Diceros bicornis minor: one gene and its partner. The protein of the gene in region 2 purifies or fractionates together with the protein of the main gene of each other region. This does not show direct contact. Links are inferred from orthologs where the notes say so. Each region holds a gene or a part of one and is shown on either strand. Other genes may lie near its edges. The genes, in order: EDRF1 and HSPBP1.

Region 1 (16,006 bases), on a different chromosome or scaffold from region 2:
TCGTGTTTTTTTTGTAATGTGTGGGTCCTGAGGAATACTAAATGAATTTTTAAAATCTCCTTTAGTGAAATATAATCACATATAATCACATGACATACATAATCATAAAACACATAATACAGTATAATGACTAATTACAAAGCAAATTACCCATGCAATCATTACCCAAGTCATGACACGGAACCGTGCTAGCAGCCAGCACCACTGCCCCGTCTCATTCACACAACATCCCTCCTCCTGGTGTTCACCACTAAGTAAACTTGCATGGTAATCACTTCCTTCCTTATCCTCAGAGTTTTCCCAACTTTGGAAAAAATTTAAATTCATTACATAGTTTAATGAGGTTTCTCTATCTTAAAACCTACTAAAACTAAAATCAAGTTAAACGTATTTGCCTCCTATAATCCTATAATTTGTGAAGATAGCAACAATCTGGACAAATAATATTCAATATGTGAGAACACAGAACAAGAGGAAAAACACGATTTACAAAGTTAAAGATCTTATTTTTATCTTCTTTGAGTTTGTCAATATATTTTCTTGAAAACAGACATGCACAATTTACATCTATGAAATTATTTTATTCCTTGTTAGATACAATAAGGACAAAACAAGCAAGAAGAAGAAGTCAAGAATATAAGAGACAAAAGAGACAACTGTACTCTCGCTTCCTTCCTAAAAGCTTTATAACATTAATGTGGGTTAAGTCTCAGGAACTTCATCCAGAAAATCTTAAGGGCGATTTTAGGCCTAACAATCTGACTAAAAGTTAAGACAAGAAGGTCAGTATTTAAATTACAAACAAGCCTGTAAGTCTCAATATTTGATAGGCATTTATTATGTATCTAAAGTTGAAAATATACCATATCTCTATATTATATATAATAATACTCTTATGACTTTAAGGAGATAATCAGTATTGATAAACACACTGGTAAGCTATTTTAAATGCTGATAAAAAATTTTAAAATATTTTTAATTATTTAATTAAAATCTGATCTAGTCACTCATATCTCTTGTAAATTCTACTTTGAAAAACAAAAAAATATTTTTTCTAATTGTGAGACATAAATTGATAGAATATTTTTTATGCCTCTTCATCTACTTTTATTAACAAGATAATTAGTTTTGTCTTCTCAAATGAGTTTACTGAATTAGCATCTAAGCACTAACTAACCTGACTGGAAGCACTGGGATCTTCAGAAACTGAAGAAGGCATTTCAAACGGGGCGGGCCAGGAAGCCCCATCCGAATTGTTTGTCTGGTCTGAACTGGACGATTCCTGCTGTTCTGCAGCAGATGGGACGGGCTGAGCGGCTCCATCGCCATTGATACTGGCCAAATCAGAAATACAAAACGTCACATGGTTACTAAAGTTAACTTACATAACAGTCTACTAGTTTTTAAAATGCAGCTTCTACAATCAAGCGTAAATTTTATTTAAAAAAAGGAATATAAGACATTGAAATGTCAACGATACTACAGTGGCAAAACAAATTATTACTTTATTGGCTTCAAATTAAATTTTAGATCATAATTTCACTTTTCCTCTTAAGATAAAAATAAACAAGGAGCCAAGTACCTGTAATATAAAAACTTGGAAAGAATAGCCTTCTGATACCAGTGCTCTTTGCTTTTTTTCTTCCTCTGCCACTTCTGATCAATAAGTCTTTGATAAAACTCTTTCAGCCATGTCCAATCACCAGTCTGAATAATGTAAGAAATTGATAAAAACAAACCTGTGGTCAAAACAATTTGTTATCTATTACTCTTTTACAGGAAATACTCTCTATTTTTTGAATATTGTTTCATAAACACATACTTACCTTTCTAGACTTAATTCCTATCACCTCTTTTAGGAAATCTCTCTCTCTTCCTTCTCTACCTAAGCCAGGTTAGGAGTCACCTTTTTCCATAACATGTTCTTTAGTGCCTGGAATAAGCCCCACTATGCATACTGTATTGAAATTATCTGTGTATGTGTTTATAACCCCAAAACTGTAAGCTGCTAGGAAGCAAGGACTGTGATTTATTCACTGTCACATCCCAAGACCTGGTCCAGTGGCTAGCACATACATATAGATTAAACTGAACTGTGGTCTTCAAAGGAAAAAACATTTATTTTAAATGTCAATTTAAAATCACTGTAACTTATTTTCCTTTATCAAAGCATTGCAGGAACATTCTTTATTTAAAGACTAGCCTAAGGGACTGGCAGGACCATAAACTATTTGCAAACAGTCCATGACAAGGGAAGTACATAGAAATGGAGAGTAAGACTTGAGAAACTGCAACATTGTTATTATATTTAACAAAAGTCTCCATCATCAACACACTGAGGGAAAAACAGTCATTTACCAACATACAGTTTGAGAAGCTCTGCTTTAAGAGAACCAATTAATTCCAATAACTATGTACTCATAGGAATAACTTTTAACATTTTTCACATTTTCTGGCAGCCATGTTTCATGACAATCTCTTTAATGGAAACATTAAAGGATTTTTCAGAAATTTAAAGTAGGTCCTTAAATTTCAGATTTTTCACAACTTTCCTCATTGGTTTCATCCTTTTCCTTCCAAGAATCCTGGCTGTTGGTATCAACAAAATAAGTTTCTTCCCTGTTCTCTCTATTTTTTCTTTATTAAAGCTTTTTTATCTTCAGTGAAATTTCTCGTCTCTCGATTGTTGAAGTACTCAACTACATTTCCACTTTGGCCTTTCTTTGAAACAAAATCATATTTCTAGTGCCCTTAAGTTGTTAAAACAACGCTTTTCCGGTTGTTTTTCACGAGTATTACCTGTGATGATCTCATAAAGAGTTCTTGAATATCCAGCTCATCTAACAAGAGAGTCCTTCCTATGCGGTGCACTGCCATGCTCACGTGGGACTTGCTGTACGGAATCTTCAGGAGCTTTTTTATGTTCTTAAAAAAATTAAGAGGAAAAGTAGTTTAGAAAGACTTTTTCTAGTGTGATTTGGAATCTTTCAAATTTTAACTTCATTCAATTTTAAAGCACAGTAAACCTTATTTCCCTAAGGTTATACACAGTACTTTACACAAACAGCTAAATACAAACCCATGGAAGACAGAGCTTTAAAATCAGAATCACCTACACTTTATAAGTCATCCGATGTTAATGTAAGTGATGGTCAAAGGTTTATTTTTACATTACAAAACTTCCTAAAGTTAAGCGTGTATAGGTCACACTGCTGCGCTGACCTAGGCTTTTAGCATATCAGATAAAACTCACCAACTAAGGAGCAATAGATTTTGCTAGAAGCATCATTCTAATTCTCAACTGGTCACATTAGACAAATCATCCCAAACATTACAATCACTTGTAATTGCTATTATTAAAATACAACCACCAATATTAATATTATTACCACTGCCATTGTTTTGGGGGTTGCTCCTTCCTCTCTGAAGAAAGGAGATATGGTAAAGACTATTACTTTAATAACAAAAAAAGGCGTCCAATAATCAGATAGTTGTATCTTATTTCATCAGTAACTTTTCAAGACTACAGAACACAGCATGCTTTAAATCCCCAGCAGAAACACCCCAATTACATTCCACAGTAAGGACACTTACTTCAGAGTCAGAGACCACATCCACGTCGTTTCCTACTGAATCGATAAAGTCGTATGCCATACCAAAGCTAACGAAGGGAACAAAGGCCACAAACGTCATGCTCATAATAACGCAAGAAGAGTTTATAACAGAATGCCGTATTTCATTGCTTCCAGGATACACATTTTCTACATTCTAACATCTCTGAAATCAGTATGCCCATCACCATTATAGTTGGCTAGTTCTTCCTTCTTAGTGGTACATAAAATAATGGTGTGACTTAAAATCAATGGCATCTTAGATTTGATAAAATATAGTAATAATCATTAGAAGCAATTAATAGGAAACATCTAGAATAAAAACAGTTAACAATTCTTTTCTTTTTTCTTGGTGAGGAAGATCAGCCCTGAGCTAACATCTGTTCCAATCTTTCTCTTTTTGCTGAGGAAGATTAGTCCTGAGCTAACATCTGTGCCCATCTTCCTCTATTTTGTACGTGGGATGCTGCCACAGCATGGCTTGATGAGCAGTGCGTAGGTCTGCGCCTGGGATCCAAACCTGCAAACCCCGGGCTGCCAAAGCATAGTGCATGAACTTAACAACTATGCCACCGGGCCAGCCCCTATTTTCATTTTTGAATTAACAAAGCGCAAAAAATCTCCAGGAGAAAACAGTTAGCTCAAGATATTATTCTTTTTAGATGGAGAGATAAGAAGAATAGAAACAGAAACATTTATTAGGATTTCAGTCTCTGGGACTGTGTTCCTAGTGATATACAATACTACCCTTTTAAAAAACATATTTGAGGGCCAGCCCTGTGCCACAGTGGTTAAGCTTGGTGCAACTCTGCTTCGGTGGCCCAGGTTCACGGGTTCAGATCCCAGGCGCAGACCTACACCACTCGTCAGCCATGCTGTGATGGTGACCCACATACAAAATAGAGGAAGAGTGGCACAGATGTTAGCTCAGGGCTAATCTTCCTCAAGCAAAAAAAGAGGAGGATTGGCAATGGATGTTAGCTCAGGGCAAATCTTCTTCAGCAAAAAATAAAAAAATAAATAAAAATAAAAAATGTATATGAAAAAAATGCACCTGACACCAATTCAGCCAGCAGGAGAAAAGAAAACAAATGTTGTACCAGGGACCATGAGAGGCAAATCTATAATCTACAAACCTGAAAAGCAGCTGAGGTGACCACTTTTCAGATAGTAAGTGGCAGAGAGTCAGGATACTTACCTCTGACAGCCTCACCTCAAAGCATACTCTGATGATTTACCACACAGTCTAGGCAAGTTAGTTAACCTTTTCTAAGCTTCAGTTTTTCCATGTGATAATTAGTTAACAGTACCTAACTCAAAGGGTTGTTGTGAGAATTAAATAAGGTAAACATATAAAGTACTTAGAGTGTACACAATCAACAATTATTTAAATCACCTCATAACAGTTAATTATGTTGACATATCATAATTTATTAAGCCATTCTTCTAAAAGAAGATATTTGGACTATTTCCAACTTTTTGCTAGTATAAATAATGCTACAAACAAATATTTTGCAAATATAACTTTTACCTTCTGAGGCATTAGGATAATCTCCAAACTACTGGCTTATAAGATATTAATGTATTTATGGCTCTTGCTGTGTTATGTGGAAATATTTTAGGTTCAATCACTGAGAGGAAAAAAAAGAGAACCCCACACATTAAATGGTGTACAAGAATATGGACATTAGCACATTTATCTCTATAAGACCCCTGGCCACTCTCTCAACTTTAAATACCACCAGCAGAATTTCCAGCAAGTGTCAAAGTCAAGGGCATAGGTCACCCAACAGGCTGGGTTTCTACACCAGGCTGTTTCAGACCAGACAATCCACCACCATTTAATGCAAAACTCCACAGGACAGATTAGGCAGCGTTAAGGGTTTTCCTCCTCCTGTGCCACTCGACTCTTCGTATCCACACATTCAAAAAGCACGTAAATTGGCTAAAAATAAAACAGCTGATTGAATTTTAGTGGTCAAAACTCAGCTTTGTTAATAACATGATGAAAACTCAACAGAAGCATATGAAGTTGATATGTTCATATAACAACATAATCATATTAGAACGAAAAAAAGGACTCCGAAAATCAAACATGATCTTCTTCTAAAGAGAAACCTTGCCAAGTTGATGAGCATTACCAATTAAACTGAAAAGCAAGTATTAGAGTTTGGGGGCAGGGCTGGGGGGAGGTTTGAGGGACAAGTAAAAATACCACTGATTGATATTTACCTTGAAAATGGCTTGCTTTTCTTACTATTGCCAAGAATGGTGGTTCCTGCTGGCCCTAGTTTGGCACTCTCTCGTAACCAGTTGGCAGGTGGGAGTTTCAAGTCTGTTTTCTCTTCAAGGCGTGCAAACGCTGTTCGAGGAGGGGCAGAAGAGTATTTCACCACAGCTCGGCTCTTCACTTCATTGCCTCCAAGAAATAAAGCTGACCCCTAATTAACATATTGAATGACACTTTAATGAAAACTCCTAGAAACGAAAAATCTCACCTTTATAAAGAGAAAAAAAACCCCACCACATCAGGCTTCACAAGAATGTATGCTATGTGTTAGTAACAGCACTTAATAAATGCGATCATAGACGGTCACATTTACTTAGCTCTTTTTCACATAATTTCAAAGAAAAAACATGAGTCAAAGAGTATGATGGCTATGGTTATCTGCTAGGAAACAGGCCAACCAATCTACCTTTCAAATTTTATTCACGAACGTGGAAAAGCAGAAACTAAGGAGAGTCAACAGTGTCACATTAACTAAATGCAAAATCTGACAGAATCCTCTGTTCTGCATTAAGGATGTATTTTAATTTCAATAACATACATCACTTAGAAAGTAGCTTGTGGTAAGATATCTGGGGCCTTTTCCTTTTTAAGCAAACTCATAGTAACTGATTCATCAGGTCATTACACAAACACTCTGAATCTCGGACTTCACAGCGAGGCACTGGGGTTCCTCACCTGCACTCCCCCAGGCAAGCTCGGCGTCTGAGGTCACTGTTTTAACCTCCTTGCCCGCAGCCCCTTCCCGGCCTGGCAGACACTTTGCACCCTGCAAGTGTCAGCTCAGTCCCCTCCCGGTGAGCTCCTCCCCGACGCCCTTCCCTTTCCCTGCAGCTGTGCACGGCTGTGCCGCATGCTGGAACCGCGTATTTACCGGCACGCTCCTCGAGAGCGGAGATCCCAACTCACCTGTCGGTTCCCCCCAGCAGGAGGGCAGGACTGCTTCTGATACGAGTGACTTGCACGTAAATACCTGGATACCTGGCGACAGGCACACGGGCTTCCACTCCGTGTGGGGCTGTCGGGGAGGCGTGGAGAAGGCGCCAGAAGCCGCCGGGAACCGTGCCATCCCTCCCCGGGGGAGCGGGCCCGCAGCCCCCGGAGCCCTGCAGGTCCCGCCCCGCGCTGGACTCACCTGTGCCGCAGGTTCCTCGGACTCCCCCTGGGACAGGAGGCTGAGCCCTTCCCGAGCAGCGGCTCCGGCTGGCGGAGCCTCGGCCCCCGCCTCCTTGGAGTCCCCCATCACCTCGGCCCACGGAAGGCGAGGAGAGGCGGGACCCAAGGAGCCGCCACAAGAACCGGGCCCAGCCGCGCAGGAGCACAGGCGAGCTAGCGCCAGAGCCGCCCCGCGCACTGCACTTCCGGTCTCAGGAAGACAGGAAGGAGTTGCGGTGACGCGTTCAAATCTCGCGACCTTTGTGCCAGAGGCCCGGCCCCGCCTCCCGCGGTGGAAGCCACCTTCGCGGCGGGGGCGGGAACCGTAGTGCGCCTGCGTCTGTCAGAACCTCCTCGGGAGACCGCTTCTCGCGGTATCTGGTTCCCAGGCTCCACCCCTTGCACGCCGCAAGTCTTTGTTGGCAAACTTCTGCCGGGAGATTTGTTTCCGCGTGGTTGTCGCTGTGTGGGAGGGGAAACGCTGCTCTCCGTGTAACCAGGGGCTCCCGTTATGTCAAGTAGTGGTGTTAGCCCTCCCCTCTCCTGTAGTCCCCCTCGGTTTAGAAACGGGCTCAGGCTCCGGAAGGGAAAGATGTGTCCAGGTGAGGGGCAGGCCAGCTCAAGGCCGCGCGGACTGGGCGTCCTGCCCCCGCATCACAATGCCTGTGTGGCCCCACAGTCTCGAGTGTAGGAGCGGCGCTGAGATGCGCAGAGGAGGCCCTCTGCCTTTACCTAAGAATGGATTTCAGAAGTGGTGGCACCTCAACAGGGTTTTGCAAGGTGCCACGTTTGCTGCTTAGTGACTGGTGGAGTATCTACGGAGAGCCCTCTATTCGTCAGGCCCCAGGGAACTAGCAAAGAGCATTCTAGGTGGTACAGGGGCTTCTCAAGTGTTAATGTGCATAGGAAACACCTGGGGGTCTAGTTGGCATGCAGATTCTGATTCAGTAGGTCTGAGATGGGCCTGAGGTTCTACATTTCTATCAGTCCCAGGAGACGCTGCCAGTACTCTGAGTAGCAAGGAGGTAGAGAAATAACCGGACCGTTGTACAGGTTTGAAGGTGTTAGGCTCTCTTATCCTCGGACTGCACACCCAATATCTTAACAAGCTTAGTTAAATGCAGCCACATCCTTCATGAAAGTTTGCTTAGTTTTGCGGTAAAATATTGGAAGCTTTTTGAAAAATTAGTTTTGCTTTGCAGTTATTTGGCTATCTCAATTTGTAATTTACGTTAGGCTCTGGTAACTCACTATGTGCATATTTAGAAATCCTTGTGACTGAGCAAGTTCAACTTACAAATTATTTTCAAATGTAACAAAACATTTTTATGAATTATATTTAATAATGAATTTGATATAATAGTATGTTTTGTAGACACTTTGCATGTATTGATTCTGATACTTAATCATTTCCTGTTTGTATTTTGCAGTCAATTCTTTTTGCAAGTAATATATTGTTATTATAGTAAAAAGTTGAACGCAACTTAAATATCTAACATTAGGAGGATGGTTCAGTCTGTTTTTGGCACATAATACCACTAACTTGGGCAACTATTAACTTGTTTTTCAAGAATATTCAAGAACCTTTAAATTGTACATGGTATGATGTTAAATGATAAAATTTTAAAAAGCAAATATGCAATGTCATCCTAATTTTAAAAACGTCTATTTCTGTGTCTATGTCCATAAAAACATATCTCTGAGTGGTAAAATCAAGTGATTTAAAATTTATTCTTTAAAATTTTATTTTCCTATTTTTTCTCTCTGATTATGCATTATTTTATAGTAAAATATAATTTTTATTGTTTTTAAGCATATATAATTTAGCTTCTAATAATCTTGTTTTATTATATAATTCTATCGTTGTCAAAAGAGATTTCCTGAGGTAGCAGTAATTCTTTGTTCAGGACTCAAATACATTGCAGGCCTCTTGAGAAGTGTCTGAACCTTTGTTGATGATGCTTAGTGGGAAAATGTGTTGGAAACAACCTGTGAAAAGACAGAGAATGAAACAGAGAGAGCCAGGAACTCGCACAGAAAAAGGGTCAGCAGCAGAGAGGATCATGGGAGTGGAGGGTCCTCAGGCTGGGGGACCAGGCGCTCCCAGGAACTACTTGTGGAGGAACCCTGAGGAGGCACGAGGTTTCCTGGGCCACTAACAGGGCTAGGACTACAGAGATTTAGGAAGTAAAGGAGACGATCCCTTAGGGCAGAAGAAACTGGGCACATCTGAGTTACATAAATTTTATACATTTTTCTAGCTCTGAGTGCTTATTTTTTCTTTTCCCTATTCAAAAACTTTGCTTAAAAAAAAAGTTTTTTTTTTTAAAGTTATTATCATTATTTCTAATGTAAATGATTGAAATATAATATTGTGGGAAAACATGGATCATTACTTCCAGAAGTTCACATTTTAAGATGCTTATTTCTGTTCATTTTTATATTGCATCAGTGTCCGCCTTCCCCCTCCCTCCCTGTCCCCCCAGCTCCCAGCCCTGCAGCTCCCAGGATGTACTTCATCATCCATGGCCTGCTCTGCCTGTAGGTGCAGGTATCCTGGCTCTTGTAAGCAGTCATCGCTCTCATGTTTACCTGCCTCCCCAGGGCCTGATGCTCTTGCCATTTAAGAAATGTCTGTTGAATGAATGAACTGCTTCTAGTTTTCTGCATCAACCAGTTGTTCCGTAAGTCTGTGTTTGTTGTGCTTTCCCTCTGTCTAGAATACCTTTCCTTCCTCTCCTGGCTTATTCCTCAAGACTCATCTCAGGTATCATCCCTAATAAGTCTCTCCTGACTCCTCCCCCTCCTTACCCCTTAGAGTCCCTTTCTTTGTTCCCAAAGCCTGTATGTAGCTTTATCCTGCACTTGTCACTTTGTAGAAAAATCACCTGTTTGTGTCTGCCTCCCTTGCCGACTGTGAGTTCCTTGAGGGCTAGTGCCCTGTCTGATCAGCTCTGTTTCACCCACAGCAGACACAGCACCTGCAGACAGAACTGTTTTAGCCCTGAGGCGATGTAGGTAAAATGAGTAGTGCCAACAGGCTTTTAAAATGCTTATCAGAATGTTTGAGACACAAAAACAGTGTTGTTGGCTCCAAAATATTTTTTTAATCTGCAAAATCAGAGCTAAAAACGTTTAATGAAGTATCTCCAAAACATTGCAGTGTCAGTGTCATTAATTATTAAAGTCAGTATTCACACACAGGTGGTTCCATTCTAAAACAATTTGTAGGTTAGACTTTCTCTGCTTACAAAAATCTTCCCAGCACACATGATGATTTCAGAGAAATGCCAGTCAATCGTACATTCATTTGGTTACTCGCAGCACGCGGTATTTTCCAAAGCAAAATTAGATATCTTTTCAAAAACTATTACAGTTATAGGTAAGGCAAATGTGCCAAGGTCCACAGAGTTCCTAAACAGCCCCGCCTGCGAAGAGCAGAACATTCAGGGAATGCTTAGATTGTGACTTGTGCCCCTCAGTTTGCCACAGTCCCCCTCCGTGACCTAGTGTCTTACACCTACCCAGCCTCACTTGTTGACTTTGCCTGCTGCACGTTGAAAAGCCCTGAGTTTCTGACTCCTGGTCCTGGACTCGTAGAGCTGGAAGAGAGATTTGAGATGATCTGAGCCAATCCTGTCCCTCTTTAGATGAGAGCAATGCAGTCCAGAAAGGAGAATAGAATTAACTTGTTGAATGTCATACAAAGCTAGTTTAATAGCAAAGACAGGACTAGCATGTAGGTCTCTGACTCCCCAGTAGCCTTCTAAAAAGTTAAGTTGCAGATATAGGCTAGTGGAACTTCAATTTGTTTCAGAATCGCCGAGGAACTTGTTATGTGAGCAGATCCTCTATCCACCTCCACATTGTAAACTGATATCTCTAGGTAGGCCAAGGAATCTACATTAATCTACATTTTTAGTGAGATTACTAGTGTCTGACCACCCTGGCATGTAGACCATGTCTTAGAACAGTGACCTCTAAAGACAATCCTCTGAGGTGCAGGAAGAACTATAACTTCCTTTTCTTTTAATCTGAAAAGTCAGGGCAAAATCAAGCCTTCCTAATACTTAATACACAGGTTGACACAGGTGCCCTTTCTTGGGCCATGGTCAGCTAGTGTATGGGTCAGGTAAGATTGGGATACGCAGCCGAAACAAACAATCCGCAAATGTCAATGACTTACAACTAGGGTTGCCAGGTAAAATACAGGCTGCTTTGACGTTTTGAATTTCAGATAAACAGTGAAAAAATTTTTAGAGTAAGAATGTTCCAAATATTTAGTAGAAGTGTGTCCCAGGCAACATTTGGGTCATACTTTCACTCGTCCATGTAATCTTTACTCCAGGACCCAGGCTGATGAAACAGCCTCAATCTGGAGCGTTGCCAGGTGGAGTGGTGGAGTGACCAAGAGATTGGTGAACCAGAAACTATGTCCTAAAGCTTCTGGTCAGAAATGCTAAACATCACTGCTCCTTGCTTTTTTGGGCACCAAAATGAGACATATGGCCAAGCTTAGCCTCAGTGTGGCAGGGAAGACTAATGCTCCTCCTAAGGAGGGGGACTGGGTATCTGCGGACCATTATGCAGTCTACCACAGCATATGGTGGTTTCGGTGGGCTATCTGATGCCATCCACATTTGGTGACAAAACAAGGCCTTTAGGAGAATCTTTTCAAAGTGTGGTAGTAAGATGAGGGGTGACCTTGAAAATCTCATGTACCACACAGAGATCACAGATCATCTTGTGACAAAGCACTTAAAAGAATTGTCAAGCTTAGAAAATGAGTTACTATATTTTCTTTTACAAAAAGTGTTCCACATTTCCTCATCTTTTCTGTGATGACTAGCAGCTGTCATTAGGATGCTTCAGGCGAGAGTTGCACAGAAATAAACAGAGTTAATCTGTTCCTTCAAGATAAAGGTGATGTTTTAACAATGAGTGAGAAAATCATTGGTTTTCAAAAGAATCTTATCCTATGGAGAGAGCATTTTTGAAAATATATGTTTGGAAGTCTTTCCAACATTATGTGATTTTGTTGCTAAAAATGACGTGTATCGCTTATAAAAAACTCATATCTGCACACTTAACTTTGAAACTGAAATTTCTAACCCACTTTAAAAATCTCCCAAATGGAGAGTTTGCATTTTAAATATATTGAGGAATTCTAAGGAGGACAGTGGTGCAGATCTGGCTTTCCTAAGGAGCGGAGAGCTAACTCGAAGGAGATAGCAAGTCTCCTGTGCTCCTCAGCCACACTTTCAGGGCTTTGGAAAAATCTATCCACATCTTCATTGTTTTCTTTGATACCACTAGTTGGCCTTCTCAGAATGCCCAGACTGATCTCTTTGTCAGCCGTGAAGTGATCTGTTTACTCCACAAATGTGCCTGCAGGATTCACTATTCCCAGGCTGCCAGCCGAGTTCTCCTCTCTCCTCCCTCTTGTACCTCCTGTTTTTAATTTTGTTTCATGACAACTGTCCGTTGACCTTTCCTCTTCAGGTATGAGTAAATAAATTGCATATAAAACAACAAACTAAATATCTCTGAATTATTCCTTGACGCCATTTAATTGGTTCATAAGAAAGACTGATGGACTTCAAAGAAGATGGAATTTAGCCAAATTTCAGTTAAAACCTTTGCATAATTTGTGGATACAAATGAAATGCGCAGTTGACTTGGTAAGCTCTGAGACCATGTGATTCTTCCTAGTTAGTTTACTTATCTTTTGAGATATTTTAAGCAATGGCAGCCATTAAAACCAAGTTTTAAAATAAACTGAACTTAGGACACTTCAAATTGTTACATGGCAAAGTTTTCAGCCAAGAGTCATAAGAATCAAAGAAACCTATTCGACCACTTTACTCTCTTTTAAAAAATATTAGAACAGAACCATTTGCAGTTAAAATAAAAATATTGTAAATATTGATTGCTTTAGACTTTAAAAAGTTTCTACTCTTGTATTTTTATGTTAATATACTACTGCGAGTATATCTTTTACAAATAAATACACATATATTGGGGCAGCATGTTCAGAAATATATATATATTTTTTTCTGGTGAGGAAGATTGGCCCTGAGCTAACATCTGTTGCCCATCTTCCTCTTTTTTTCTTGAGGAAGATTGTCCCTGAGCTAACACCTGTGGCATTCTTCCTCTATTTTGTATGTTGGAGACCGCCACAGCATGGCTTGATGAGCAGCGTGTACGTCAGTGCCCGGGATCTGTACCCGTGAACCCCGGGCTGCCGAAGCGGAGCATGCGAACTTAACCACCAGGCCACCGGGCTGGCCCCCAGAAATATTTTTCATAATCATGTGTAATAAGAAAGTTTATAGACTACTACTTTTAGAAAGACTATTTTAAATGCACCATGGTACCCGAAACCACATGCTAGCTACTCTTTCAGTCAAGAACAAGTATCAAGTTAATGATCTATATTTTCCTTTACGCCTAAATTTGACAACAGTAGAAAAATTTTAAAGTAAAAACAATGCAGACCTTGATGTGCAATTTATCAGTGTAATAGCAAGGCACTCTTGGTTGCAACTATGGGATACCTTATTTAATTATTAGGTGATAATTATTTAATTGCTCCTCTGTAGACTAATAACATTTAAGCAAACTATTTGAAATTATTTGGAAACCATTTCAACTGCATTTGAAGGAGTTCCTTTTCTAGGTACCCGATGAACTCAAATTCTTTTGCAAGCTATTAGAGCTGACTTTCAGAATATAATGCAAGTGATTGTAGGGGCAGGTTGTCTCTGCTAGGTATTACTTTCACAGCAGAAATGTTCTTCGAGTCTTGGTGAGCTTTATCCTCTGATGCTGATTATTACCCTAAATGAATCCCAGGAACAGTTTCAAAGTCACTCAGGACTGCTCTTCAGACACGTGTTGGTGGCTGGAGTCCAAGCGGTTATTCATGCTGTGCATACTGGGCTAAGGGAGGGAAGGAAAGAATTCCCAAATGAATCTTCAAGTCAATCCTACAGTCAGGCGCTGCTTGTGGGTCCCCTCTGCCTTTCCAGTTAAGGGCTTGCCCTGTGCAGACCCTAATGAATCATTTAGCTATTACGCATTTACGAGGAGGCCGCCAGTGGAGAGAACAAAAAGAAGGCATCACTAAGTGAAAAGTGTCGTGTCAAAGCCGCAGACTGGAGCTTTTTACTAAACATATCTACATTTGTCTTCCTTGTGGGCATTGAAGAGAGCTATTTTACTTTCTCGGTGTCATTCAGTCACTAAGCACCCAGTAACAGAACCCATTGCGTGTGAATGTTGGGCAGAATGGTAACTACTGGATGAACCACGGGTGTTATCCACATATGACAATTTTTTACATATTTACGTTTTTTTCTCTTTAGGAAATGGAGCCAGAATCCACAGATGTCATTATCCATCTGCACACTTTTGTTTACTGCCCAGAAGGCAAGAATATTGCATTTTAAAAGTGTCTGGACTTTTGTTCTTTCTTATCACAAATGACTTGGGAAGCTCTGGCCATTCACATGTACCCGGAGCGAAAGTGCAAGTCAAAGCCTGGCTTCCTGGAGAGCTTTGAGATTCTGGTACAAAAGGCATTTTATGAGCACAAAGTGGAAAAGCGTCATTTATGTTCATTTGCTGCTGTGGCATTTCTCTCTGGAATCTTCCTCTTGTCTGTCAACATTGTGCAAAAGGACTGGCCTCATCTACATTACAAATATCATTCTTTTAGTGGTTGGGAAGTAGGAAAGAGCAGCACAAGAGTGGGAGGAGAAACTTAAGCTCTCCCGTTGAAGGGTCTCAGGCTTGTTTATCCCTAAAAATGGTTGTACATACTCGGTATGGATATTATGAATTGTTTGGAAAGACCTGAGCAGCATCTTGGCTGCAGTTAATGTTTATTATCTGATTGCAGTGACCCATGGGAGAATCACAGCTGTAGGGAAGACCCTCTGAAGGGTCAATCAGAACAGAACCTCCTGGGCAGAGGGTAGCTGGCCTCCACTGCCGCAGGAAGGCTTCCAGAGTGAAGAAATTTCCACCAAGATGGCTCCTGTGACCTGTGGCAGATCTTTTCTTGTAGGGGGCCCTGCTTGGTGTGATTTAAGAAGCATCAAGGACTCTCTGTCCCAGAAGATCTCAGTGTGTGCCTTATCTCACACACAGGTGAGGGTTGGCCAACTGGATTAGTTGAAATAGAGCCTGGCTCTGAGGGCCTCCCATTCCCATCTGGGAATGTTCTAGAACATGGGGCATTACCCAATAGGCAGAGCCTGGGATGGTATTACTTGGGTGAAAGTTCTGAGTGTGTGTATGTCGGGGCATGTAAATGAATGAGGGGCCTATAGATGCAGGGACAGAGACGCGCGGAGGGCAGGAGTGCTGCCACAGGGAAGGATGGTACCCAAAGGGTGGGGAACCCATATTCCAACCCCTTCCCTCATACCTCTGCCTGGGACCTCCTCTGAGTCTGCAGATCAGCTGCTGCTTCTCCTCTTCCTTTGCCTTCTTTTTCAAATCTTTTAATCACAAAAATTTCAAATACATACAGTAAAATGAGCCCCATGTTTCCATCGCCATTATCCACTTTGAACAGTTACCAACACATATCCAGTGTGCTTCCACCTGCCCCCCCTTCCTAGGATTATTCTTGAAATGAGCTCATCCTTAATCCTTTTTAATTTAATCCCCCCTGTTGCATTTTTCTGGCCATTTCCTTCTGTTCTGTCAATCACTGTCTTAGGTTAGTCTGCCGGGTTGGCTATGAAAAGACACATTTCTCAAGAGAGCCCTAAGCAGTTCTGAGAGAAATGTAGGGATTGACCAAACAATGTACGCTTAATTCAATCCCATCCAACAGACACTGAGTCCTAGGCACAGCGCTGGGTTAAAGAAATCAGCAGAATAGGACTCCTGACCACAGGGGCCTAGGATCTAGTTCTGGGGCGAGGACAGGGCTGAA
Region 2 (14,984 bases):
GAGTAGGTTTCAAAGACTTAGCATGAAAAAAGGTGTAAAGTATCTCATTAATATTCCATATTAATGATGGGTTGAAATGATAATATTTTGGATATATAGGATTAAATAATATGTTATTGAATTTAAAAAAAAAAAAAAAAAAGAACACCCAACAGGGAGAAGAAGACATGACGAGCCTCCACATCCCTTCACTCCCCTTCACGACATATCCAGGAGCAAGCGCTTCCCTTTACCCCACGGTCTCTCCACCAGGCACAGCTGACATTTGGGGCCGGATCATTCTGTGCGGTGGGGGCCGCCCTGTGCACTGTAGGATGTTGAGCAGCAGCCCTGGCCTGCAACTTCTAGACGCCAGTAGCCCCCAGACCCCCACTTGTGACAAGCAAACGTGTCTCCAGACATTGCCTGATGTCCCCTGCAGGGACAATCGTCCCCGTTTCAGAATAGCTGCTTCGCTCCCCGTTTATCTCTCACCTAGGTTATCACTGTGACGTCCTAACCAACCTCCCGCCTTCCATCGCCTTGTTCCCTTTAAATGCACCTTGGTTCCTGCCATCGCAGTGAAAAGCCAAAGTCATCGCCAAGGCCCACACGTCTACCTGAAGAAGGCTAAGCAAAGGGAGGTGCAGGGCGTGCATCCCCCCTGGGACTCCCTCCTCCCCACTCCAACCCCCCACCCCGTCCCGTCCTCTGAGCTGTCTCACACTCCTCCATCTGACCCTCTCTTGGTCTGCATCTTTCCAAAACCCTTTCTCTGTGGAGACGAAGAGGCACACAGGAGCGGCGGCTGGCAGGGGAACCTCTGCGAGCCTCCGTGCCCTCACGGGTGGAGCAGGGGGCGCAGTGACGTCAAGCAGGAGCCAGGACACCATGCCCTGCAAATGGCTTGTAGCACCAGGCTGGCCATTCTAAGAACTTACCAAATGGTAGCTGCCACACAGTGGCATGCCCTGCAGTCACCCCCCACCAAAAAAAAAGACAGATGCCACTGGAATGCGCACTTTACAATGGCCATGTGAATTTTACATCAGTTGAAAAAAAAAAAGGCATTGCAGTCCCTGGAGCTCCAGCCTGGCATCCTGGATCGCTCTCTGGGGGACGCCAGCCGCCAGGTTGTGAGGACACTCAAGCAGCCCCATGGAGAGGCCCCCCTAAAACAAGGAATGATCCGGCCCCAAATGTCAACAGTGCCGAAGCTGAGAACCCCAGTGGGCGTAGAGCACTTAAGCTGAGCTGCGTTCCTCCGCAGGCAGGATCTGGCTCTCTGACTAGCAGGGGGTTTGGCAAGGTCATTGCTCTGTTCCCAGCACAGAGACCCGACAGGTGCTGGGAACAAACGGACAAATGAGGCCCCTCTCCTCTGCCCCCAGCCAGGGGAGCCGTGCCCCTCCCAGGCAGCCCGAGGGATACTCACAGGAGATGGCGAAGAGGGCCTTGACGCGCACCGTGTCACAGGAGTCCCGGTCCAGCAGCCGTAGCAGCTTGCGCAGGGCGCCGAGGCCCAGCACCTGCTCCTGGATGGCCGCCACGTTCTGGCTGCACGTGCCGATGAGCTGCGCCGCCCGCCACCGCAGCCCCGCGGGCCCCGCCTCCAGGTACCGGCCCACCAGCAGGTGCATGCCCGACAGCTGGCAAAAGTCTATGCCGGAGAGACGGGAGAGGGAGGCCTGATGTCAGGGCTGAGCTATGTCCCCCCCAAATTCACAAGTTGAAGCCCTAACCCCCCAGCCTCAGAATGTGACTGCATTTGGAGAGAGGGCCTTTAAAGAGGTGGGTAAGGTGAAATATGTCACAGGATGGGCCCGAATCCAGTATGACTGGTGCCTCATAAGAAGAGGAGATTAGGACACAGACACAGAGGGAAGACCACGCGAGGACACAGGAAGAAGACCCCTATCTACAAGCCAAGGAGGGAAGCCTCAGAAGAAACCAACTCGGGGCCGGCCCAGTGGCGCAAGCGGTTAAGTGTGCGCGCTCCACTGCGGCAGCCCGGGGTTCGCCGGTTCGGATCCCGGGCGCACACCAACACACTGCTTGTCAGGCCATGCTGTGGCGGCGTCTCATATAAAGTGGAGGAAGATGGGAATGGATGTTAGCCCAGGGCCAGTCTTCCTCAGCAAAAAAAGAGGAGGATTGGCAGACGTTAGCACAGGGCTGATATCCTCACAAAAAAAAAAAAGAAGAAGAAACCAACTCTACCAACACCTTGATCTCGGACTTCCAGCCTCCAGGACTGTGAGAGAATAGATTTCTGTTGTTTAAGGCTCCCAGCCTGTGGTGCATTGCTTGACAGCCCAAATGCATGGACTAATACACCACGTGAGGCTGGACGGGCGGCCGGCTCCCAGGTGACCTACCTCCGAGTGCTGGCTCTCTCCCAGCACCCAACCGGGGGCCCCTCCAAGGCCGGTGTGTCTCAACAATGTCAGCATTTAGGGGGTCAGGGTCCCAGGCTCCAGCCCACTAAATGCCATTACTGACCCCCAGTCTTTGTGACAATCAGAACATCCCTTGTGGAAGAAGCACACACAAGACCAGAGGTGAGCAAAGTACGGCCCATTGCCTGTTTTGTAAATAAAGCAGTACTGGTGAGCTTGGCGGTTCCTCAAAAAGTTAAACACAGAGTCACCATGTGACCACGCCGACATGTATATCCAAAAGCATGGAAAGTAGGGACTCGAACAGATATTTGCACACCAAGGTTCACAGCAGCATTATTCACGATAACCAAAGGGGGAAATGACCCAAACGCCCAGCAGCTGATGAACGGATACAGCATGTGGACTAGCCACACAGAGGAGTATTAGCCAGCCACAGAAAGGGATCAAGTTCCAGTACAGGCTACAACATGGAAGAACCTTGAAAATGTCACACTCGGTGAAGGAAGCCAGTCACATATTCTATGATTCCATTTACATGAAACCTCCAGAATAGACAAATCCAGCCCTCAATGACTACACCGTGCCCCTCCAAATGGAAGTGAGGTCTCATCCTTCTACGGGCTCCACAGCATTTGGAATAAAACTCACCGCGCCTACCTCGGCCTGTAAGCCCTGCACACCCAGCATCACTTCCTACCCCTCATCCCTCACTCCACTCTGCCGTGCTGGCCTCACTGCTGTTCGTGCACACGCCAGGCACATTCCGACCTCAGGGCCTTTGCACTGGCCCTTCCCTTTGCCTAGGATGTTTTTTCCAGAGCCAGTCCCACAACTCATGCCCTCACTTCCAGTCTCTGATCAAATGTTGCCTTCTCTGACCACTCTGCCCAGAACCGCCTCCTCTCTCATGTTCTAGGGAATGATGGTGGACTCCCAGCCGACGAGGGCAAAATGGCCAGTTATCAGGGAGGTAGTGGACTGAACCTGCTGCCAGGCTGGCTGTGTGGGGTGAGAGCAGGTGCCATCACTGCTCCTGGTGGCAAGGGGCCAAAGCAGGGAGGGACAGAGAAGTCCCATCTGGGGCCTGAGTTGGAGCCAGACTGGAGAGGCAGAGGCTGGAGGCTGGGGAGCAGGCCGGCAGCGTGGTCCCTGAGACAAAGGACAAGGGCTGAGCCGCAGCAGGACACGGGGCTGAGGAGGGGGCAAGAGACAGAAGGGAGACCAGGAGGCAGAAGGGGCAGGGCCCTGGCAACTGGGCGGTGCGCTGGGGCGGGCCCGGTGTACCCGCTGCGTTGTCCATGTTTTCACACAGGTCGGCCAGCAGCTCCAGGGCCCTCTCGCGGTCCTGCTGGTCGGCAGCCAGTTCAGCCTCGCTGGCCGAGGTGGGCGTGGGCTGGGACAGCACTCGGAGGCAGTTCTTCATCTGCTCCACCTCCTCCCTCTGGCCCCGGAAGGCGGCAGACATGGCCTCCTGCAGCCACTGGCGCCTCTGGGGGACGAGGAGGGGCGGAAGGGTGGGGGAAAGAAGAAAACCTCTATCAATAATTAATACATGAATAACAGTCGTTAATAATAACGGCCAACATATGAGAGCTGACTGTTCCTTCAATCAACAGATATCTATTGAGCATCTTTTCTACTGACAGACTCTTTTCTAGACACTAGATCTACAGAGAGACTGGCTATGGGGTGTGAGAGAAAGAGAGGCACCAGGGACTCCTAGGTTCTTGTCCTGAGCAACTAGAAGAACATGGGGAAGACGGCTGGAGAAGCGGGTGTGGATGGGGAGGAGCAGAGATTAGAGCTCTTTTCTTTCTTTTTTTTTTGAGGAAGATAAGCCCTGAGTTAACATCTATTGCCAATCCTCCTCCTTTTTTCTCCCCAAAGCCCCAGTAGATAGTTGTATGTCATAGTTGCACATCCTACTAGTTGCTGTATGTGGGACGACACCTCAGCACGGCCCGACAAGCAGTGCATCGGTGCACGCCCGGGATCCAAACCTGGGCCGCCAGTAGCAGAGCACGTGCACTTAACCGCTAAGCCATGGGGCTGGCCCCAAGAGCTCATTTTTGAACATGTTAAGTTTGAGGGATCCATTATACACCCAAGGTAAAATACTGAGTAGGCTGCCTGAAGCTCAGGGAGGCAGTCCAGCCTAGACCTGGATTTCTCACTCTCGGCTCTACTGACACTTTGAGCTGGATGTTCTCTGGTGGCGGCCATCCTGTGCACTGCGGGATGTTGAGCAGCATCCCTCGCCTCCACCCACTAGATGCCAATAGCAGCCTCCCCAGTTTGTGACAACACAGAATATCTCCACATGCTGTCAAATGCCTCCTGGGAGACAAAACCGCCCCCAGTAGAGAACCAGTGACCTAGAGATATAAACTTGAGAGGCATTAGAGTACAGCCCCAACACAACATGAGGTCACATGGGCAGTGAGCACTGATAAGGGCAGAGTCCTGGTGTGCTCCATCACTGAGAGGCTGGGGAACCAGGAAGAACCAACAGAGGACATGGGGAGGAAGGGCAAGTGAGTGGGATGAAAACCAGGACACTGTGTTGTTCTAGAAGCCAAATGAAAAAAGAGATCAAGGAGGGGGAGAATTCAAATGCTGCTAGTAGGTCAAATAAGATGAGAGCTGAGAAACGGCCACTGGAATTTTGTTTTTTTTGGCCAGGCCCTGTGTTGAGTGCTCCCATGAGGGCTCTGTAGTCACAGTCCTGGATAAATGCGGGCAGGATGCTTAATCTTTCTGTGCCTGTTTCCTACCTCCCTGTCCTAAAGGTTCAATGACATCATGGATGTAACTGGATTAGCACAATGTTTCGTCTACTGTAATCGCCACGGCCACCAAAACATTATCAACAGTCGCGTGCCGCATAACAACATTTCAGTCAACGACGGATTGCATATACGACGGTGGCCCCATGGGATTAGTGCCACAGAGCCTAGGTGTGCAGCAGGCTATACCATCCAGGTTTGTGTAAGTACACTCTATGATGTTCGCACACTGACAAAATCGCCTGACCAGGCATTTCTCAGAATGTATCCCCGTTGTTAAGCAACGCATGACTGTGTAACAAATATTGCTATTCATCTCCAAAACCACCCTACGAGGTATTATTGTTATCGTCCCTGCACAGATAAGAAAATCGAGGCACAGAAAGCTTATGACTTGCCCAAGATCACACAGTCAGCAATCCGCAAAGCCTAAGCAGCCTGTCCACAGACTGGTGCTCTTAAGGAGAACAGTCCACTGCCTTCAGGAGCACAGCCTACCTGTCGGGCACTGTGTGGGGCCCTACTTCAACTGCATCCTCAGAACTACTCTAAGTAGTACTGCTGTTCTCATTAGCATCATCAACCTACAAATGAAGAACTTGAGGCTCAGAGAGATTAAGTGATATGCACAAGGTCACACAACTGGATAATGCTGAATCCAGGTCTGTCTGGCTCTGGAGACCCTGGCCTTTTCTTTTTACCATGAAGCTATTCTGCCTCCCAGCACAGTGCTGGGACCCAGGAATCTGCCTCTGCAGACACTTCTGAGATCTGACCTTCAGCCTACAGTAGCCCATCTGGCACAAACATAGCGAACTATGCCTTCACACCTGGACTCCTGCCGCCTACCCAGGAAAACCCCAGCTTCTAGCCCCCCAAGCCACACTTCCCAAGATATATCTGTCCCCACACCCCTCACCCCAGCTTCCCCATCGCTTACCTCCTCACTCATGGGTTCCGGAGGGGCGTCTGGCTCCTCAGAGCCCGCCGTGATGGCCATCTGCAGCAGGCCCTGGAGGTTGCGCGGGGGCGGGGGGTTGCCCGAGCCCCCCGCCGAGGAGCCGCCGCCCCCTGACGAGCAACTCTGGGAGGCCGGGGGCAGCGCCAGGGGCAGGCGGCTGCCCGTCGAGTCTTGGTTCGCCATGGGCTGTTTGTGAAGAAGGGAAGGATGTGCTGGGGATAGGAGTGGTCACCGCTGAAGTAGCTCTGGCGTCCTGACGGGTTGACTCCTGGGGGTCTGCTGAGAAGGTGGCGTTTTAGGGGAGCTCGGCGCGCCCCCATCACCCCGAACCACTCTGCCCACACCCCCCTTAACCACAGTCCCCTTTCCGCCCTTCATACCAACTGGACCCTTCCCCAAAGTCACAAGCCCCTCCTTCCTCCCTAATAACAGGCCCCACCCACTCTCCCTAGCAACCTAGCAACCCCCTCCCCCATCTCCACTGCACGCGTTCCCGTCTCTTAGCAACGCCACGGCCCTGCCTCCGTAGCAACAAGCCCTCCCTTTGATCGTCAGCAACAAATCTCCTCCTTCCTCTCCGAAGACAGGAGCCAGAGCGGGGCGAACCTCACCTCCCCGGGAGCGAGTCGCGACCGCTACTAAAAACAGAGTCGCCCGCACCTGACTCTGGTGGGCGCCGCCATCTTAACCGGAAATACGCAGATCTCTCCCGGAAGTCAACGGAGCACCCACCCAACTTCGGGCCGTAGCCGGGGCCGAGGCAGCTTGCCCGCCTCTTAAGTCCTTCCCACCAGGCCCAACGCTGCGCTCGGCCCCGCCCCTCACGTAGGCCCCTTCCCTCGCCTCGCGCTCAAGCCTGGATTCCACCCCTCAGTGAGCCCCGCCTCCTCATCCTCATTGCAAGGTCCACCCCTGCCCTGGTGTAGGCCCCGCCCCCAGGCCTGGCTCCGCCTCGGCTGGGCCCCGCCCACCCCCACCTGTCCCGCCCCTTTCTAAACTCTGCCCCGCTCCACCACCTCAGGCTCCGCCCCGTCTAGGCCTTTCAGCCTCTCCCAGCTAAGCCCCGCCCCTTCCCTAAGCCCAGCCCCCATACCTGGAACGCCGGCCCCGCCCCATCCCGGCGCTGCAGGTTGTGGGGCTCCCTTATCCTCAGGCCTTTTCCCCTCTACCTGGGCCCCCACCCCATCTTTTACTGGAGCCCTGGGTTCCCACCCCTAATAGCTGACCTAGGCAGCCTTTAACCCACCCCACCCCCCCCTTGGTCTCAGTTTCCCCATTTGTCAAAGAGGGCTGCCCATTCTCTACACTGCAGCTCCTGTGCGGACCCCTCGTCACCCAGCTTCTTCCTCCTGGAATCTTCCCTGGGTCCTGCCAGGTGCAGAGGACAGAATTCTTGAAGCCGAAAGCTGAGAAGTAAAATGCCCAGGCCAGGTGGTTTGGGAGGCTCGCAGCCTCTGCGCATCAGGTTGGAGCTCAGGTCTGGGCATGTGCTTGGTCTGTGGAGGTGTTTGCTTTGGGCTGGACTTAAAAAAACCCTAGTTCTGGTCTGCTATAAGATGCCCTCCAGGTCCAGGAAAAGGTTGTACTCAACTTCAGGTGGGGATCACAGTCACAGATATATTGAGCACACTCAGGGCCAGCCTGGTGGCGTAATGGTTAAGTTCATGTGCTCTGCTTCAGTGGCCCGGGGTTCAGAGGTTCGAATCCTGGGTGCAGACCTATGCACCGCTCATCAGCCATGCTGAGGTGGCATCCCACATACAAAATAGAGGAAGATTCACACAAATGTTAGCTCAGGGCCAGTCTTCCTCACACACACAAGAAAAAGGAGCACACTGCTAGGCTTGGGGTGTGTGGGGTGATATTTTGGGCAGAGATGGGAAGATAGAAGGCATAAGCCATGTGTGTGTGAGTGTGTGGTGTTTGTAGCACTGAGGAGGATCACTATCCGACAGGGGTCTGGGTCCCTGGGTACCCTATTGTATTAGTTTCCTATGGCTGCTGTTAACAAAGTACCGAAAACTTGGTGGCTTAAAACAACATAGATTTATTATCTTGCAGTTCTGGAGATCAGAAATCCAAAATGGGTCTCACTGGGTTAAAATCAAGGTGTCTGCAAGGGCTGCGCTCCTTCTGGAAGCTCCAGGAGAGAACCTGTTTCTTTGCCTTTTCCAGCTTCTAGAGGCCACCCGCATTCCTTGGATTGTGGCTACATCGCTTGGGCTTCTGCTTCCAACGTCATCCTATCTCCTTCTCTGACTCTGACCCTCTTGCCTCCCTCTCATAAGGACCCCTGTGGTTACATTTAGGGCCACCCAAATAATCAGGATCATCTCCCCATCTCAAGATCTTTAACTCAATCACATCTGCAAAGTCCCTTTTGCCGTGTAAGGGGACATATTCGCAGGTTCCGGGAATTAGGACATGGACGTCTTTGGGGACCTGTTATTCAGGCTACCACAGTTATGTACACCTATGCCCAAATCTATTTATCTATAATTTACATATATGGTATTTACATAATACCATATACGTACATATAACATGTAATTATATGTAACATTATATATATAAATATATGTATCATATGAGGGTAGCCTGGATGAGAACTCCCAGGTACCCTATAAAAGCCATGGCCTTTACAATGACCTATCAGTAGAATGACCATATAATTTTCCACCCATAGCGACACACTTGAGAGTGAAAACAGACCCTGTTAATAATTACAGAACACCAGGCATAAACCAGGACATATGGTCACCTGCTTCTAAGGCCATATACGATCTGCGTCCTCATCTCGGTTCCTCTCACTTCCCCTCGCTCACTCCCCTCCAGCCACACTGGCCCCTTCCACGTTCCAACAACACGCCAGGCACGCTCCTGCCATAGGGCCTTTGCACCTGCTGTTCCTCTGCCTGGAAGGCTCCCAGTGCTTTATCCACATGGCTCTGACCCTCACTTTCCTTCAATATCCCCTCACCGGAGAGGTCTCTCCTGCACCGTATCTAAATCATACCCCACTTAACAAACACTTCCTGCCCCTTCCCTGCTTTAGTCTCCTCTTCAGCTCTGATCATGATCATCTAACATACTGGTATATTTTGCTTGTTTTTCTTGTTTCTCGCCTCCCTCATCCACAGCAATGGGAGCTCCACAGGCCGGGGTCTTTGTTGATTTGGTTCACTGCTGTGCCCTCCCCACTTGGGAGAGTGTCCGGCTCAGACGGCACTCCATAAAGGTTCATGGAATGGAGGTGGTTGACTAGGAGACTAAAGGCTCACGGGTAGACTCTATAGAGGACTTGGGGATGACATGGGATCGATCCTAACACCTTTGGGTACTTGATATAGGGGAGTCCTGGATTACGTGGAAATCTGGTGGAGGCTTGTGGATTACCCATGGGCTGAGCACAGATCCATGGATGTGCTACAGTGGAGATGTACGATTATATGGGGGCCCACATGAAGATCAAGGGGACCCTGTGGTGGACACGGAGAATACATAGGGGTCTCAGAAAATACAGAGAGGCCTCAGAGGGTTCTAGAAGTTTCTCTGTGGGAGCAGGGAGGATCCTTGATGGAGGTATGGAACCAAGATGATCTGAAAACATGCACCCTGGGCTGTGGGGTGGATATGGGGCTCTGATGCTGGTGGGGAAAGGGGGCCTGGGAAGTTTGCAACTCCCAAAACTCTTTTCCTCTCTCTGCCTGTCTCCCCCTTTCTCTGCCCTCCAATCTGTCCCCATCTTCCCCAGCATCTAGCCCTCCACCTGTGTGTATCCCCCCATTATTTTGCTGTCTGCACCTCTATCCCTCTCCTCGTCCCTCTCTCTCTGTAGCTCTCTTTCTACATCTGTCTCTCCAGCTATTTTCCCCCCGCCCTCCACCTGTCTCTATTTTTCCTCCCCCCTTGTCCCTTTCCATCTCTCCCAGTTTCCTCCTGCTCTCTGACCTTCCCTCCTCTGTCTGCCCACCTCCCCCCACAACTTTCACACCTTTCCCTCTCTCTGTCCCTGTCTCTGCTTATCTCCACTTCTCTCCCCCTTCCCTCCATCTCTCCAAAGCTTTGTATCTCTCTGTCATCCCCTCCATTTCTCCAGGTCTCTCCCCATCTCTCGCTCTGTTTTCTCTGTTCATCTCTCTTCCATCTGTCTCTCCATATCTCTCTGCCTCTGTTTTCCCCCAGTTCCCTGTCTGTCCAACTCTCTTGTCCTTCACCTCTGTCTCTCTCCATTTCTATCTCTGATTTTCTCCATTTCTGTGTCTCCCCATGACCATCTCTCCTTTCTCCATCTCTGTCCAACCATCTCTGTGTCTCCCCATGACCGTCTCTCCTTTCTCCATCTCTGTCTCTCCATCTCTGTCTCTCCCCATGACTGTCTCTCCTTTCTCCATCTCTGTCTCTCCATCTCTCTCTCCTCACCACCATCTCTCCTTTCTCCATCCCTGTCTCTCCATCTTTCTGTCTCTCCCTATCACCTTCTCTCCTTTCTCCGTCTCTTTACTCTCCCCCATCTCTCTGTCTCTCCACCGCCTCTGCTGTTCTCCATGCCTCTCCCCTATCTCTCTGGCTGGACTCCCTCTTTCTCCCGCATGTCTGTCTCTCCAGGTCTCTGACTCTTTCCACCTCTGTCCCTGTCTCTGCTTTCCTATGAGTCTCTCACCACCTCCCTGTCTCTCTGTCTCTCCTGTCTCTGCCCATCTCCGGACTCCTCCTCTCCCCTCCTGCCCCAGCCCTGTCTCTGGTTGCCTCCATCTCTCTTGCCATGTCTGTCTCCTTTTCCCCGTGCCTATGTCAGACTGCATCTCCCTTTGTGTAGCTCCATCTCTGCCCCTGTCTGTTTGCTCGGCGTCTCTCTCGCTCCATCCTCTCTCCTCCTGCATCCCTCCCTCCCTCCCTCCCTGCATCCTCCCACCTCCTCTCCATCCCTCCAGCTCCCGGGCCCGCCCCCTGCCCCCGCTCCCCTCCCCCTTCCGAAAGGGTTAACTTTGGGGAAGGGCCCGGAGTCCCCGGATGGTGATGTCAGCGTGCCGGAGAGAAAGGACGAGGTGGCGGGGGGAGGCGGAGAGGAGGAGGAGGCGGAGGAGAGAGGGCGCGTGGGGGGGCGGGGGGGACCTCGGCCTGCAGCATCCGCCGGCCCGCACCTCAGACCCCCCCCGGCGGGGGGAGGCGCAGGAAGGGGGGGGCCGGCCAGGGACGGGCCGGGGAGGGGGGGCCGCGCAGCCCCCCCGGGCCATGCTGACTCCCGGGGCCTGACCCCCCCGGGCCAGCCCCCCCTCCCCCAGCTCCGCGGCCCGCCGAGTGGGGGGGCCCAGCCCAGCCCCCTGGGGACCCCCGGAGAGGTGGGGGGCAGCCGGGGGGGCCGGGACGGAGCGGTCGCCGGCCCCCACCGGAGAGACGGGGCTACTGGCCGCAGGGGGGGCGGCCGGGGGGCCAGTCGGGCCGGGACCAAGGGCACCATGTCGTCCGGGGCCAAGGAGGGGGGCGGGGGCTCCCCCGCCTACCACCTCCCGCACCCACACCCACACCCACCCCAGCACGCCCAATATGTGGGCCCCTATCGGCTGGAGAAGACGCTGGGCAAAGGACAGACAGGTGAGCCAGGGGAGGGGACACCTGGGGCGGGTGCAGGGGAGCTGGGGGGCAGAGGGCGGGACTCATGGGTATGCAAAGGCTGCCCAGACCCCTGGGTCCCTCACAGAGAAGGCACTTGGGGGTCAAGACGGCTGAACCCCCAGGATGAGGGGTTGAGAGCTCAGACTCTGGGGTCCTGGGGAGGAGGGGCCTAGGGGCCTGGATTCCTCGGGTGAGGTCTGGCGCCTGAAGGCTCCCGCCCCGTTGGGGCAGAGGTTGGAGGGGCTCCCTGGCCTCCGTGGGGAAGGGAGGCCGGCCGCAGCGGGACCGGCCGTACTGGGAGCAGAGTTCCTTGCTGCAGTACAGCCGCAGACTGGGGTGAGGTGGCGGGATGGGGGTGCACCCCAGGAAGCCGCTTCCCTCTGCACTGTCCTCTAGCCAAAGAGGGCCTCAGGCTCTCCTGGCAGGCCATTGGGGTGACAGGGGGAGGCCAGGGCAATGGGGTCTACAGCATTCTTCCCCTTCTCCAGCATGCTGGCTCAGTGTGGGGACCAGGAATGGAGAGGTGGAAAGGTGGATGCAAGAGGCGAATCCCCCAGGAGTGGCTGTGGAATGGGGGGGTCATCTTTTGCTGTTGCTAAGCACTGGCCACCAGCACGGCCTCTCTCCTGCCAGGTGGGGGGTGGGCAGATGTGAGGCGGGAGCTGCACACCTGTGTCCTGGGCAGGGGGTCCACTGGTGGGTCCAGGGTCTGTATGAAGCTGAGGGCCAGGGTGTGAGGTAGGAAGGAGAAGAGGGTCAGACCCCCAGATCCTAGTGGTAAGAGTGTGAAGGTGTTGCTGACCTGAATTCTTGAGTTATGGGTGAGGAAGAGGCCATGGATCTGGACTCCTGGTCTGAGGGAGGAGAAGCTGGGGGCCTGGACCCCTGGGTCTGAGGGAGGAGGGGCTGGGCGCCTGGACCCCTGGGTCTGAGGGAGGAGGGGCTGGGCGCCTGGACCCCTGGGTCTGAGGGAGGAGGGGCTGGGCGCCTGGACCCCTGGGTCTGAGGGAGGAGGGGCTGGGCGCCTGGACCCCTGGGTCTGAGGGAGGAGGGGCTGGGCGCCTGGACCCCTGGGTCTGAGGGAGGAGGGGCTGGGCGCCTGGACCCCTGGGTCTGAGGGAGGAGGGGCTGGGGGCCTGGACCCTTGGGTCTGAAGGAGGAGGGGCTGGGGGCCTGGACTCCTGGGTCTGAAGGAGGAGGGGCTGGGGGCCTGGACTCCTGGGTCTGAGGGAGGAGGGGCTGGGGGCTTGGACTCCTGGGTCTGTGGCTTTGGGGCTTACCCTTGGGGTTTGCATGCTGCCAGCTGCATCTGCTATTAAAAGTAGATCAAAGAAGGGGATTGAGAGGTCAGGGTTTCAGAGAAGGTGGAGGAGGATGATCTGGGAAGGGGGCAAAGGTGCGATTATATTCCTTGGGAGACGTGAAGTCTCTAGATTAAAAGGCAGAGAATTGAAGGAAGTGATGGGTTGAAAGAGAGAGAGGTTTGAAGCAGGCAGAATGAGGGAGACAAAACTATGGAGACTCAGTGAGGAAAGAATATGTAGAGAGATGAACTGAAATGGGCACGCCAGAAGGGGAGAGAATCAGATTGAGAATCAAGGGGTGGCTGTGGAGGGGAAGGCAGGTGGGTGATGGACAATCGGAAGGAACAGAATTGGGCAATAGGAAGCAGGAAGAGAATTGTGTTTTGTGGGAATGGCGGCTGTTGGCCCGCAGAAGTTCAGGTGAGAGTGATTCAGGCCACTGCTAAACAGCCAGCAGGGCAAGAAGGAGGAATTGAGGTGGAAAGGGGAGCTTAGGAGCCACAGCGGGGAGGATGCTCTGGGAGTACACCCCACATCTTCAAACCTGCTCCCCCAGGGCTGGTTAAACTCGGGGTCCACTGCATCACGGGCCAGAAGGTCGCGATCAAGATCGTGAACCGGGAGAAGCTGTCCGAGTCGGTGCTGATGAAGGTGTGTATGTTGTGGGGGGACCCTTTGGGGCTAGGGGGAATGAAGGGAGGCCATGCTGACCTCCACTCCTGTGTCCCACCCCTCGGTCCCCCAGGTGGAACGGGAGATTGCCATCCTGAAGCTCATTGAACACCCACACGTCCTCAAGCTCCATGACGTCTACGAGAACAAGAAATATTTGTAGGTATTTATAGACACCCAGCCCCCCATGCGCCCTCCCCAAGTTCCTAGGGTGGGACTTTTCCGCAGACAGGGCCTGGAAGCCCACTCTCAGCTGGGCCAGTGAAGGCCCAGTCCCTTCCCTACTCCCTTCCCCCACAGCAACACCCCCGCACACACACATAATCCTCCTTGTTTCCACACTGACCTGGCCTCACGCTAAGGGTCGAATGTATCCCAGCGACAGGACAGCTAAGCCGTACTGAGTCGGGGACAGAGGCTGATCCTCCCCCTTCCTCCCAGCCCCAGTCCCCTGCCCTACTGCACTGCAGGGCGCACGCCATACTGGATAATCTGGATGGCCTCAGCCAGACCCAACTTGCTAAGGACAGATGCTCCCTGTTGACTAGGGGCCGTGAGCCCAGTGAAGGCCGAGGCCCAGTGAAAATCTTGCCTCTTTCCAAACTCCCACTCTGGAGCTCCCCCCTCCTCCCCCAACATAACTGTGGATGCTATGACTGGAACCCCAACAATGGGCCTCCTTAGAAGTTCTGAGTCCGTATCTCAAAGTCAGTTACCCCCCAGGAAGGATGGGGGTGGGGTCCAGCTGTCCCGACTCCACACAATAGGCCTTTGTCTGGACTCTGGTGACCCAAGGGACAGCTGGGCTGGGCAGCGGGAAAGGGGACAGCCCCCCTGCCCCCACCACGCAGTCCCCAGGGTGAACTGACTCCAACACCCATCATATCCTGGAGCGGGTTTCCCTAGGCAGGAAGCTGCCCTGGCCCAAGATGCTTGTGGGAATTGTAGTTCTCAGGCTTCCCCAGGTGTGGTGGCAGGGCGGGGCCGTTGTCACCCGCTTGTGGAGCTATCACTTCCACTCCACTATCTGTGTAGGGCGGGGGGCACCCATGGGAGTTTGTGCTTCACAGTGGAATCTCCGCCTTTCAAAAGCTCCCAGAAATTGAGCTTTTGTTTCCTAGGGGCTGATGGGGATTAAGAGAGTTTTAACCTCCCAGAGCCTGATGGGATTTGGAGTCTTTAGAATCCAGGTGGCTGATGGGAATTAGGAGTCTGTATGTCCCAGAGGCTTATGGGAATTGGGAGTTTTTAACCTGTCAGGAGC

The links.
Region 1: the proteins of HSPBP1 (region 2) and EDRF1 purify together in Homo sapiens (affinity purification with mass spectrometry; 3 studies listed by BioGRID and IntAct, counting the BioPlex papers as one, with this or other methods). This does not show direct contact. The link is inferred for Diceros bicornis minor from reciprocal best matches to the Homo sapiens genes HSPBP1 and EDRF1.

What each region holds. Positions count from the first base shown.
Region 1 is NC_080745.1:88,301,236-88,317,241, reverse strand, and holds the start of EDRF1 (erythroid differentiation-related factor 1), read right to left. Parts: upstream 7,217-16,006; 5' UTR 7,142-7,216; coding exon 7,034-7,141; intron 6,053-7,033; coding exon 5,844-6,052; intron 3,662-5,843; coding exon 3,595-3,661; intron 2,926-3,594; coding exon 2,800-2,925; intron 1,708-2,799; coding exon 1,583-1,707; intron 1,335-1,582; coding exon 1,178-1,334; intron 1-1,177. UniProt on the Homo sapiens protein: Transcription factor involved in erythroid differentiation. Involved in transcriptional activation of the globin gene.
Region 2 is NC_080773.1:33,290,149-33,305,132, forward strand, and holds the start of HSPBP1 (hsp70-binding protein 1), read right to left. Parts: upstream 6,844-14,984; 5' UTR 6,740-6,843; intron 6,405-6,739; 5' UTR 6,312-6,404; coding exon 6,108-6,311; intron 3,871-6,107; coding exon 3,666-3,870; intron 1,640-3,665; coding exon 1,415-1,639; intron 1-1,414. Other genes in the region: serine/threonine-protein kinase BRSK1, read left to right, coding at 11,588-11,723, 13,605-13,699, 13,794-13,879. UniProt on the Homo sapiens protein: Inhibits HSPA1A chaperone activity by changing the conformation of the ATP-binding domain of HSPA1A and interfering with ATP binding. Interferes with ubiquitination mediated by STUB1 and inhibits chaperone-assisted degradation of immature CFTR.